3 linked regions of the Neurospora crassa OR74A genome follow. The protein of the gene in region 1 interacts with the protein of each later gene in a pairwise test. Links are inferred from orthologs where the notes say so. Each region holds a gene or a part of one and is shown in the gene's direction. Other genes may lie near its edges. The genes, in order: NCU08668, NCU06418 and NCU04439.

Evidence for each region.
Region 2: the proteins of NCU08668 (region 1) and NCU06418 interact in binary tests that used the Saccharomyces cerevisiae proteins (3 or more experiments, as listed by UniProt). The link is inferred for Neurospora crassa OR74A from reciprocal best matches to the Saccharomyces cerevisiae genes ESF2 and DBP8.
Region 3: the proteins of NCU08668 (region 1) and NCU04439 interact in binary tests that used the Saccharomyces cerevisiae proteins (3 or more experiments, as listed by UniProt). The link is inferred for Neurospora crassa OR74A from reciprocal best matches to the Saccharomyces cerevisiae genes ESF2 and HCA4.

What each region holds. Positions count from the first base shown.
Region 1 is NC_026504.1:4,159,978-4,163,377, forward strand, and holds NCU08668 (pre-rRNA-processing protein esf-2), read left to right. Parts: upstream 1-1,335; 5' UTR 1,336-1,509; coding exon 1,510-2,074; intron 2,075-2,148; coding exon 2,149-2,606; 3' UTR 2,607-2,791; downstream 2,792-3,400. Other genes in the region: NCU08669 (betaine aldehyde dehydrogenase 2), read right to left, coding at 1-338, 398-802. UniProt on the Saccharomyces cerevisiae protein: Involved in the small subunit (SSU) processome assembly and function, and in the 18S rRNA synthesis. Required for the early cleavages at sites A0, A1 and A2. Stimulates DBP8 RNA helicase ATPase activity.
Region 2 is NC_026503.1:1,328,298-1,332,500, reverse strand, and holds NCU06418 (ATP-dependent RNA helicase dbp-8), read left to right. Parts: upstream 1-1,318; 5' UTR 1,319-1,752; coding exon 1,753-2,570; intron 2,571-2,643; coding exon 2,644-3,706; 3' UTR 3,707-3,883; downstream 3,884-4,203. Other genes in the region: NCU06417 (uracil-5-carboxylate decarboxylase), read right to left, coding at 4,171-4,203. UniProt on the Saccharomyces cerevisiae protein: ATP-binding RNA helicase involved in 40S ribosomal subunit biogenesis and is required for the normal formation of 18S rRNAs through pre-rRNA processing at A0, A1 and A2 sites. Required for vegetative growth.
Region 3 is NC_026504.1:3,354,682-3,358,929, forward strand, and holds NCU04439 (ATP-dependent RNA helicase dbp-4), read left to right. Parts: upstream 1-1,320; 5' UTR 1,321-1,441; coding exon 1,442-1,588; intron 1,589-1,665; coding exon 1,666-3,990; 3' UTR 3,991-4,125; downstream 4,126-4,248. Other genes in the region: NCU04440 (hypothetical protein), read left to right, coding at 1-670. UniProt on the Saccharomyces cerevisiae protein: ATP-dependent RNA helicase required for ribosome biogenesis. Involved in the release of U14 snoRNA in pre-ribosomal complexes. Required for pre-rRNA cleavage at site A2.

The sequences.
Region 1 (3,400 bases):
ATATCGACATCACCGCGAACATATGCAGGATCCTTGCCACCCAGCTCGAGGCCGACGTTGACGATGCGATCGGACGCGGCCTTCTGGACGGCCAGGCCACCAGCAACCGAGCCGGTAAAGCAAATGTTGGCAATCTTGGGGTTTCGCACAATTGTTTCAATCACTGTCGGCGAACCCGAGTGGAAGTACTGGATGACTCCGTCGGGCAACCCAGCCTCGGAAAACACCTTGGCCACCTGCTCGACAATTGTGGGTGTCTGAGGCGAGGGCTTGAGAATGACCGAATTTCCAGACAATAAAGCGGGAATCAAGGCGTTGACGAGAATAAGATAGGGGTACTGCGCAAAGTTAGAGGTGACGGATGGAGTGTCAAAACAACATGATGGACACCACTTACGTTCCAAGCAAAGATGATGAGAACAGGACCAACAGGCACCTTTCGGATGAACCTCTTGAATCCCTTCTCCTCCTCGCCATCGGTGTCCTTCAGAGCATCGTTGCTGATCTTGAGCAGATACTCTGAGCGCTTGATGGCAGTGGCAACCTCCTTGGCAGTATAAGCAATGGGGCGGCCCATCTGGACGGTGAGTTCCTCTGCAAGTTCATCCTGCTTCTCGGCCAGCAACTTCAAGGCCTTCTTGACGATGATCTGTCTGTCCTCCAACTTGGTAGTGCGCCATCCTTGGAAGGCCTTGAAGGCAGTCTCGGGCAGTTGGACGAGTTCCTCCTCTGAAATGCCATTGCGAGTGATGATGGGTTCCCCCGTGGTGGGAGAGATGGTGGTGATCACCTCGACCGACATTGTTACAAGTAGGCTTATCGGCCAGGTATCGAGTGATAAGGATGGTGAAGTGGGATGCAGTGTTGGTTGTCACAAGGAGGAAGAGCGAGTCAAAGGGAAAGAAAAGACACAGTTCAGTTACTCTAGTACTTAGTACTATAATTCGTTATACCTTCCACAAGAAGAAAAGAGCAAACCGACTTGATTCCCATGACCCAATGACACCATGTCGCCCCTCCCGTCGCCGTCTCACTAACAAACAGGAACACGACATCACACTGCCGCACACAGAGTGGCTCCCGCTCCGTTTCTCGGCGGCAGGCCGGGGGAGCTTTGATAAGATAAAGAGTTGTTGGCAGCGCGGGGTCGGGTCTGCAGTGTATGAACTCCACCTCGGAAGGAACCTAAGGCGGGGACGGGATCAGCCAACCTGAACTTCCATTCCCATTCATACTTTGTTATCTCTTATCGGCCCTGCGTGCACGGTCCCTTCCTGCCTGTGGCCCCCAGTGGAGCCAGAAATTTTGAGAAACAGCAGCAGCCATGTCCGTCCAGCGCTTCCACGCCAAAAGAAGACTTGCGAATCGCGTCGTGATCCTTCTCCAACGCAAACAAACACCCGACTGCCCTAAATCTCCCCATAACGACCCAATCATTCAACCTACGAAACTTTCAGCATACAACAAAAAGTCCACCAATTAGAAACACAAGTCAATCATCCATCGACAATGCCGGAGGACGATGTCAGAAACAAGTTCCTCGATGCTGGCGATAGCGACGACGATGCGGGCCACGGTTCTGACTCGGAGGATGATTTCCAAAAGGGTGGCCGTAACGCCAAGCGCAGAAGAGTGAGCGATGACGAGGACAGCGAAGCCGACGACTTTACCGACGCAGAGGAGGAACACGACCAAGATGATGCTGAAAGCAAGGATGCACCTGCAAAGGACGGCCAGGAAACAACAGATGGAAAGGAAAAGAAGGATGGAAAGAAGGAGAAGGAGAAGAAGTCGGTACTAGCGAGTGACCTTCCGGGCATGACGAAGCCTCTCACAAAGAAGAATCTCATCGTCACGGAGGAGGCCATCAAGAAGTCGGGAGTGGTGTACATCTCCAGGGTACCACCTTTCATGACTCCTGCCAAGTTGCGCTCCCTGCTGGAGCCGTACGGAAAGTTGAATCGCATTTTCCTGGCCCCCGAGGACCCAGTTGCGCGACGCAAGCGCATTCGCAGCGGAGGCAATAAAAAGAAGATGTTTACAGAAGGCTGGATTGAGTTTGTCAAGAAGAAGGGTAGGTCTTCATTCCGTGAGACTCGCTGAGACCCAAGTACAAAGACGCTAACAAGAAAACCCGTTTGTTTGCAGACGCCAAAAAGGCATGCGAACTCCTCAATGCCCGTCCAATCGGAGGCAAGAAGGGATCCTACTACCGCGACGATATCTGGAACTTGCTCTACCTCAAGGGTTTCAAGTGGCACAACCTGACCGAACAAATCGCTGCTGAGAACGCCGAGCGATCCAGCAGAATGCGCGCCGAAATCTCCAAGACAACCAAAGAAAACAAGGAGTTCGTCCGCAACGTGGAGAGGGCCAAGGTGCTGCAGGGCATTCAGGCAAAGAAGGCGTCCAAGGGCAGCAAAGCGGGCGGTGAGGGTGCCGCCCAAGTCACAGAATCTACTATTCCCTCGGCGGCGGCAACGACGACGACGACAACAAACGACGATAAGAGGAGAACATTCAAGCAAATACCCTTGGCCAAGAAGAGGAAGCTCGATGAGACACAGCCCGAGCAAGTACAAAGAGTGCTCAGCAAGATCTTTTAACCTTCTCGTTTGGCCCCCGAACAATAGGTTTGAGACACGGAGCGTTCATGTACCTGTGGGATTTCTGTCGTCAAAGCGACTCCGAGACATTAGAGATGGGTGGTGTTGATTTTCTTTCCCTTAGGCAATTGTATATATTTTTCTGCCTTCAGTCATCTTGATACCCAACCTGATTTCCTTTTGCTATGAGAGCATCTCCATTTCCGTCACTTTGTCATATCCCTACTTATCGACGCTGCACAGAAACCGGCCGGCGTTTGGTTTAATTGGCCCACCATGAGCACATTCCAAATCCCAGCCACGAGGAAGAGTGCCCCTGACGATACGGTCAACACTCGATACAACTTCACCAATTGTCCTGTCGCAAATGCTGTCAAAAGGGGATCATATTTAACGACTCACCCGACTTACGCCCTTCGCATACTTCAAGGACTCATCCAGCGTATGCTTGACGTAGATGAGGAAGGTTGCGAACATTTCTCAAAACGTCGCCTGGACACCATACTCCAATATACGTCCTGGTCAAACTATATCATCGGGCATATCCGCCAAGACCGCTCTTGTCGTTATTTGAGTGAAGATCAGATGCACAAGTTCTTCCATGCATGTATTCAAACGGTCGAGGATGGCTGTACCCTGTGGGAACATATATACCTTTTGAAACCTAGTTGCTGTGCTGGGCGTGGCTCGTCTCAGGATGAGAGCCTGGAAATGACCACATCTTCACCCAGGTGGTTTTCGAGTAGCACATCCTCAGCATCAAATGAAACCATCAGTTCGGCAACTCAAACACC
Region 2 (4,203 bases), on another chromosome or scaffold:
AACGGGTTCTGCAAACTCTGTTCTCTCAGTGTGCTTGGCCAAAGAGGCACAGAAAGGATTGTCTACGTCGTTGAGAGACACTGTGCCTCGCAGTTCACTGTGAGTGAGCGGCGTTTCAGAAGAGACAGCCTGGAGAATCTACAGCATGATCAGCTCAGGCCTTCAAGGTTAACTTCACCATCTTGGGGAGCCAACCAGGTGGATGAAACATGCTTGCTTTGATCAACACAATTGTTTACACTTGAAGCAGGTGATAAGTTATAGATGACAATGAAGGACCTCAGCATATGCGAATCGAGATGAATATGAGGTATATCATCAAGCCATACGAAGCATGATCATGCCATGTAAACAAAACACTTTTACCTCCTTTCATTGCTCGATATTATCATGTTGATACCTTGTTCTGGCCTATTTGCCTGCTTATTCGATGGGGGCATTTGGGGACCAAATCGGTAGGCCACTGTGCCAGTAAAGTACCACAACGTCAACATGGCCCATCATGTTCATCGAAATGCCCGAGTTGGGTAAGGGCCGATAGCCCATGCATCGCCGGGGCAAGCTCGCGTGTGCCCTACCGCGGGTTCCACTCCAGACTTGGCCCGTTTAGCGGCGGCCATGAGGATCCGTAGTCTTGGGATCATCGTCAACGACTGTCCTTCTGTGGCACTAAATCATAACACAAGAAGGGGGCCCGTTGAAGGACATGATCTCATCTGTCGTAGTTCGTCCGAGCATCAAGACAACGAACGAGCTGCATCCTTGAGGTGCTGTCTTTCAGCCGACCGAACAAGCTGCTTTCCCTTCTGTTATCGATACTTATACTCCTTGTGTAGACCTTGTTCGGAAACCGTGCAGTCAGCATAACACCACCAGAAGCTGGACATTGCAGTGCTTTTCCGACATGAACCTTGATCCTAGACTGCTCATGCTTCTTGGCTCATTCCCAAACAAGAAGAAGCTCTCCTATTTTTTGCATTCTTCCAAGCGCCCAGAAGTCGCACTATGGAGATCAAACCAACGGTTTCTTCGTATTCCATGAGATGGAATGTGGAAACGAACAACCCCGTCCAAAACTTAAGCGCCGATGGGTTTGGTGGCTGACGCTTGTTATGCGACGTTGGCGGTTCGCCGGCGCTTCGGCTTGCGTTTCAAGGTACACTGGTGGGTCTTGCTGTGATGCTACCCTAGGGGCAGGCCCAGGCTTGCTTGCTTGCGGTCCGTGTGCGGACGTCGGGTCTTGGCGATCTGTACATATTAAAAGTTCGTGAATGGAAGGACGATGGGTATATAAGTGAGAATGAAACTCTAAGGATATGGGCACTTTATCACGATACACAGCGGTTCATACCCTCATGGTATCGTTCTGCGAAAGACATGTACATAAGGAGATGGAGGACGGCTTGGTGAGGCTCTAGACCGTTGAAGTGTTTCTGAAGCACCGAGGCACCCCCATAAAGTCCAAAATGCCACGCTTACGTAATGACGCTCAATGTGACATTTTTACAAGCACGCTTTCCCTTTTCGGTCACTCCCGAGAACCTTGCTGAACCAAAAATTTTGAATTTTGTAGCGGTCGCAAGTCGTTATCAGTTTATCGACTGATAATCAACACCACAGGAACACACATCGAATCTGCTAGAGGCGCCCATCACGGTCCTGGAACGAATGCGAAGAGACATCTCGCACCAAACATAAACATCCGTCTAGACCTTTTGATTCCAACTCCCGCAAATAAGGAGCAAACCAACAATGCCGTCTGCCACAGCCGCAAAGGCCAAAAAGGCCAATGCCAATGCCAACCTCAAATCCAAGGTTAACAAGGCGCCCGCCGTCACTGAGATTGATGAACAATCTGGTCACTCTGAGGATGAGTCCGACTTTGGGTCTGAACTAGATGTGGAGGATGAGTCGGCTGCCTCAGATGAAGAGGACGAGGATGAGGACGAGGATGAACACGATTTAGAGGAGGGCGTCTCAGACGAAGGGGAGGGCGTCTCAGACGAAGAGGAGGGCGTCTCAGATGAAGATGAGGACGAGGAGAACCAGAGCGCCGGATCAGGCTCAGACTCAGATTCCGATTCGCTAGACAGTGACGCCCCCAGAAAACGACGCCGTACCTCACCTACCATCGACGACATCGTTACTCAACTTGAAGACGAGGAAGAGGATGACACGCCTGTCGCCCCCGTCAAGCCTGTCTTCAATAACGTCCCATCCCGCATCAAGAAAAAGCAAGCTGAGGCGCCCAAGACAGAAAAGACCGAAGAGGCAACACCAGCCCTACCAGTACCAGAGCCTGCCAGCACAGTTTCTGTTCCTATCGACGCCAACACCACCTTTGACGCACTCAATGTCCGCCCATGGCTGGTCCAGTCTCTCGCCAACATGGCCATCAAGCGGCCAACCGGCATTCAAAAGGGTTGTATACCCGAGATTCTCAAGGGCAGGGACTGTATTGGTGGCAGTAGGACAGGTTCGGGTAAGACGGTAGCATTTGCCGTTCCCATTCTCCAGCAATGGGCTGCCAACCCATCCGCCATCTTTGGTGTCATCCTCACGCCCACCCGGTAAGTCCACTCCGAGTACCCCTTAACCCCCACAAACAATCAAACAATAGGTAGAGGCTAACCACTTCCACAGCGAACTCGCCCTCCAAATCATGGAGCAAGTCATCGCCCTCTCTCAGCCCCACGTCCTCAAAGCCGTCCTCATCACCGGCGGCGCCGACATGCGCAAACAAGCCATTGACCTCGCCAAGCGTCCTCACCTCGTCATTGCCACCCCCGGCCGTCTCGCCGACCACATCCGCACCTCTGGCGAGGACACCATCTGCGGTCTTCGCCGCGTCAAGTTCATTGTGCTCGACGAAGCCGACCGCTTGCTCGCCAACAGTGGCCACGGCTCCATGCTCCCCGACGTCGAAGAATGCTTCTCCGTCCTCCCTCCTCCTTCCGAGCGCCAAACGCTTCTCTTCACCGCCACCATGACGCCCGAAGTCAAGGCCCTTTCCGAGCGCCCGCCCATTCCCGGCCGCGCCCCCGTCTTTGTGTGCGAAGTCGACACCCAGCGGCTCGCCATCCCCGCCACCCTGCGCCAGATGCACCTCCAGGTGCCGGTCACCCACCGCGAGCACTACCTGCACATGTTCCTGCTGACCCCGCAAAACGTGGACAAGAGCGTCATCATCTTCTGCAACCGCACCAGCACGGCCGACTTTTTGCACCACTTGTTGCGCTTGCTCGACCACCGCGTTACCTCTCTGCACTCCAAGTTGCCGCAGAGCCAGAGAATCGACAACCTCGGTCGGTTCCGCGCCTCGGCTGCGCGCATTCTGGTGGCGACCGACGTGGCGGCCAGAGGTCTCGATATCCCCGAGGTGAAGATTGTGATCAACTACGACATCCCCCGCGATCCGGACGATTATATTCATCGTGTTGGTCGTACGGCGCGTGCGGGCCGCAAGGGTGATGCGGTGACGTTTGTGGGGCAGAGGGATGTCGATCTGGTGCTGGCGATCGAGCAGAGAGTTGGACGGCAGATGGAGGCATGGACGGAGGAGGGCGTCAACTTGGAGACGAGAGTGATCAGGGATGCGCTGAAGGTGGTGGGCGAGAAGAAGAGGGAGGCCTTGTTGGAGATTGAGGAGCAGAAGGAGGTGGGCGGAAAGAGGAAGAGGGGGAAGGAGAAGTTGAGGGCCATGTAAGCTGTCCTGTTGATGATAAGAATAGGGAGGAGAGGGGGAGCCGAAGTGGAGGAGGTAATGAAGGGAAAGGGGGTAGTGAATGATCTGATACCAAAAATATGTGTTGGGGTAGGGTGATAGATAAAATATTGAATAAGGGATTGAAAGAGATAAAAGCGATGCCAAGCTATTTTTCATATCTTGTGCCCATGGGGACTATGGCCCGGCTTCTACAAATTATGTCTTCGGTGAGTTTGACTCCTCAAAAGGATGAGCCACGGCCATCATTGATCCTTGTTTTCAGGTTGGAACAAATGCGAGGACATCCGGAGGATGATTCACCGAGCGGAGGTATGCATTTTGAAAGAGATTGCTTCATATCGCACTCCATTTCCTCACACATCATTGATTTCAAAGGCCAGCCCTCCGTCGTGTATATACATCTCATAATACCTATTCACAACCCTTCTTTCTTCACCCCGCCACTATCGGCACCCATCCCTCCTCAAGTTCAACAC
Region 3 (4,248 bases), about 810 kb from region 1:
CGTCTTGTCGGAATCATCCCCCGTATACCGACTTGAGTCGCAAGCACTGCCAGGCAACAAGCACCTCAGCAAACTGCTCGGCAAGCCGAAGCCCATTTCGAGCAAGGATAAGGTCACCCTGGAAGCAGAATACATGCTGGCGCTCTCTGCCTGGAACGACGTTGGCCAGTGCTGGTGCGCTGGCATCTCAGCCAGCAGGGGGGCCGAGCTCGCCGTGGAGATGGCCAAACATGTCATTCCCCAAGCCATCGTCGTTGAGCACGTCCATCCGAACGCGACGAATGACCCTGGGTCCATGCCCAAAGACATTGAGATTTGGGGATACTATCCGGACGCGGACGACAACAAGCGACTCCTGGCTTGGATGGACGAGTTGTACCCTGGCGAGCGCGAAGCTGACATGAAGATGGTCGACGCAAACAACAAAAAATCGCTGTCCCTCATCAACAGAAAATACGTCAAGATCGGCGAGCTGGAGTACGACTATGCCAAGACCAGCGGTAGCCACGGCATGTTTGTCCACAAGCTGTCGGAGGAGTTGCTCGATCTGGATGCGGCGACGTACAAGGTGGTCGTCAGAGCCAAGACGAACCATGGAGCCCTGGATCATACATGCATTTACCGCCTGAAACTGTTTGGGGAGGAATTAGAGTACGAGGGCGAGGAATAACAGGATTGATAATGGGTATCTGGGCGACGGATCTTGAGCTACCGAATACGTATTGAAGGGAAAAGCAAGGAAATTGGGAATGGGGCAAGGCGTTTTGGTCCTTTTTTTTTTTTTTATCGCTTTCAACTTTGGGAAACGTACATATGGGTGGGTCTAGTGGGTTGGTTTTATTGCGGGTGTCTACCTACGAAGGAATCATGTGAGCGAGCGATACCCGTCTTCAAGCTCATTTTTTTCGTGGTTCAATACATTATGCTTTCATGATAGTTTGGCTCTTTTCATTGCTCAGGCACGGTGTTGATGTTCGAATGTTGCTGTTCTAAGTGAAACATGTAGATTGCTGAAGTTGTGGGCGCTGAGATAAAACCACTACAATTCGAATTTGGTTCGATGCAAAAGCTACTGTGAATTTTCTACTTCAGCCCCGTACAACTGCCCATCCAACCCATCATGAACCATAGCAACGACTTGAGAATGTCACTGGGGGCTGACAACTCGATGGTCGTCTGTCTGCTCGTATGACCCTAACCCTGGTCTGAGCTGGCCGCGAGTCCGAGACCCCTGCTGCAGATCCCCTCGCTTACAGTGGATGAGGTGGGTCGAGCTGGCAGAATTGCTCTCCGCCAAAAGTTTTCCCATTCGCATCGAACTGAAAGGCCACCAGCGACGACCCGCAGGCAATTGGATTCGCTCGACTAGCAGACCCGACCTTTGGAACTTCGTCGAACCCACCACGCCCAATTTCCAGCACGTTCAGACGATACAAACACAATGGCTCCAGGAGGCCCCAAAGGCCGCGGTGGCAAGGGCAAAGCCGAGAAGGAGAGGTCCAAAGCCAACAAGGCCGAACACAAGACGTTGAAGAGGAAAAGAGAGTTGGAGAACCTCGAGGCGCTTCAGAAGAGAATCGACGAACTTGTAAGTCCTAGTACTGAACCCCCGTTTCTCACCATACAACCGCACACGCTTCTAAATATTGTGTCTCAATCTACTAGGACCCCAAATCCACCGAACTCAACAAGTTCTCGGACCTTCCCCTTTGCGAACCTACCGCCTCTGGACTACGCGCATCCCATTTCGAGGTCCTAACCGATGTCCAACGCGCCGCCATCCCTCTCGCGCTCAAAGGGCAAGATATCCTCGGCGCTGCTAGGACAGGTAGCGGCAAGACCCTCGCCTTCCTTGTTCCCGTCCTCGAGAAGCTATACCGTGCACGATGGACTGAGTACGACGGTCTCGGTGCCCTCATTATCAGCCCGACCCGTGAATTGGCCGTCCAAATATTTGAAGTTCTCAGGAAGATTGGTCGCAACCACAGCTTTTCGGCAGGCTTGGTCATTGGTGGAAAGAGCTTGAAGGAGGAGGCGGAGCGTCTTGGGCGCATGAATATCCTCGTCTGCACACCTGGCCGTATGCTGCAGCATCTCGACCAAACGGCCGGCTTCGATGTCGACAACCTCCAGATGCTCGTGCTTGATGAGGCCGACCGCATCATGGACATGGGTTTCCAACAGGCCGTTGACGCTCTTGTTGAGCATCTTCCCAAGAGCAGGCAGACCCTGCTGTTTAGCGCCACACAAAGCAAGCGTGTCTCGGACCTTGCCCGGTTGAGCTTGAAGGACCCCGAATACGTCTCTGTTCACGAAGCCGCAGCATCGGCGACCCCCGTCGGCCTCCAACAGCATTACATCGTCACACCTCTCCCTGAGAAGCTCGACACGCTATGGGGCTTCCTACGAACGAACCTCAAGAGCAAGATTATTGTGTTTATGTCCTCCGGCAAGCAGGTCAGATTCGTCTACGAAAGTTTTAAGCGGATGCAGCCCGGTATTCCACTACTACATTTGCATGGTCGCCAAAAACAAATAGCACGTCTCGAGATCACGAACCGGTTCACGTCCGCGAAATACTCCTGCCTCTTCGCCACCGATGTCGTGGCCAGAGGTGTCGATTTCCCCGCCGTTGACTGGGTCATCCAGGTCGATTGCCCTGAAGATGCCGACACCTACATCCATCGCGTCGGCAGAACGGCGCGTTACGAGAGCAAGGGCCGCGCCGTCTTGTTCCTCGACCCCAGCGAAGAAGAGGGTTTCCTTAAGCGTCTCGAGCACAAGAAGGTGACCGTCCAGAAAGTGAACGTCAAAGAAAACAAGAAGAAGAGCATCAAGAACGAACTACAGTCACAGTGTTTCCAGTCACCCGATCTCAAATACCTCGGACAGAAGGCTTTCGTCTCGTACGTCCGTTCGATTTACCTGCAAAAGGATAAGGAGGTGTTCAAGTTCGACAAACTCGACCTCGACGGTTTTGCTTCCAGCCTGGGTCTCCCAGGTACTCCACAGATCAGATACCAGAAGGGCGAGGACGTCAAGAAGCTCAAGAATGCCTCGCGCGCCGCCATGTCCAGCGGGTCCGACACCGAAGGCTCGGACGGCGAGATCCGCAAGAAGAAGAAGGAGGTCAGGACAAAGTACGACAAGATGGCCGAGCGTCAAAACCAGGACGTCTTGTCGACGCATTACCGCAAGCTTCTCGGAGAAGATCAGGCAGAAGACAACGAGGAAGACGACTTCCTCTCGGTCAAGCGCGTGCTGGACGACGATGCCGCCCTCGACGACGCCGCCGGCAATGCCAAGTCCGGCACCAACCCCGACGGCACGGCCAAGGTGGTCAAGCTGGGCAAGAACGCCGAGTTGGTCATCGACTCGCACCGTCGCGAGAAGCTGCTCAAGTCCAAGAAGAAGCTGCTCAAGTACATGGAGAAGGGCCAGAAGCTTGTGTTTGACGACGAAGGAAACGCCCACCCGCTCTACCAGCTGCAAGACGAGGAGGACTTCCAGAAGGAGGGCGACGCCAAGGAGCTCAGGCAGAAGTTCGTCGAGAGCGAAGCCACCAAGGTCAAGGAGCAGGATGTCGAAGACAAGCTGCTGGCCAAGCAGCGGAGGAAGGAGAAGAGGGAGCGCGCCAAGGCAAGGGAGAGGGGAGAGGAGGTCGAGAGGGAGAAGGGTCCCCTGCAGCCGGCGCTGCTGGACGCGCACAGCGATGTGGAGGAGGATCCTTTGGCTTTGCTCAGAAGTTTGCCTGTTGCTGGCAAGGGCGGTGACAGCGGTGACGAGAGCGAGGACGATAGGGAACCGCCTAAGAAGAAGGCTAAGAAGTGGTTCCAGAAGGATGACTCGGATACGGAGTATAGCGATGACGGCAGGCCGAGGAGGAAGAAGGCTAAGATGGAGGGCGGCAGGAAGGTCATTGAGATGGATCATGAGCCGGATAACTTGCAGGATTTGGAGGCTTTGGCCGCTGGCTTGTTGGAGGATTGATGAGTTGGTTTTCAATGTTGGTGTTGGTGTGGGAAAAGGAGAGATATCGGGGTTCGTCATCCAATCATGGATGTTTACATACGTATTTTGCGATAGTTTTAGACTTGTTATGATACCTAAACCACGTATTTTGACAAAAGGGTCGGTCCCATGCCACTATGCTCCCTTCGTGTAGAATACATTTCCAGCTCCAGTCTCTATCCATCCTTTCCCAGCAGCTTGCGGCGAGATTTCGGGGTACTGTAAGGCTGGACGAAG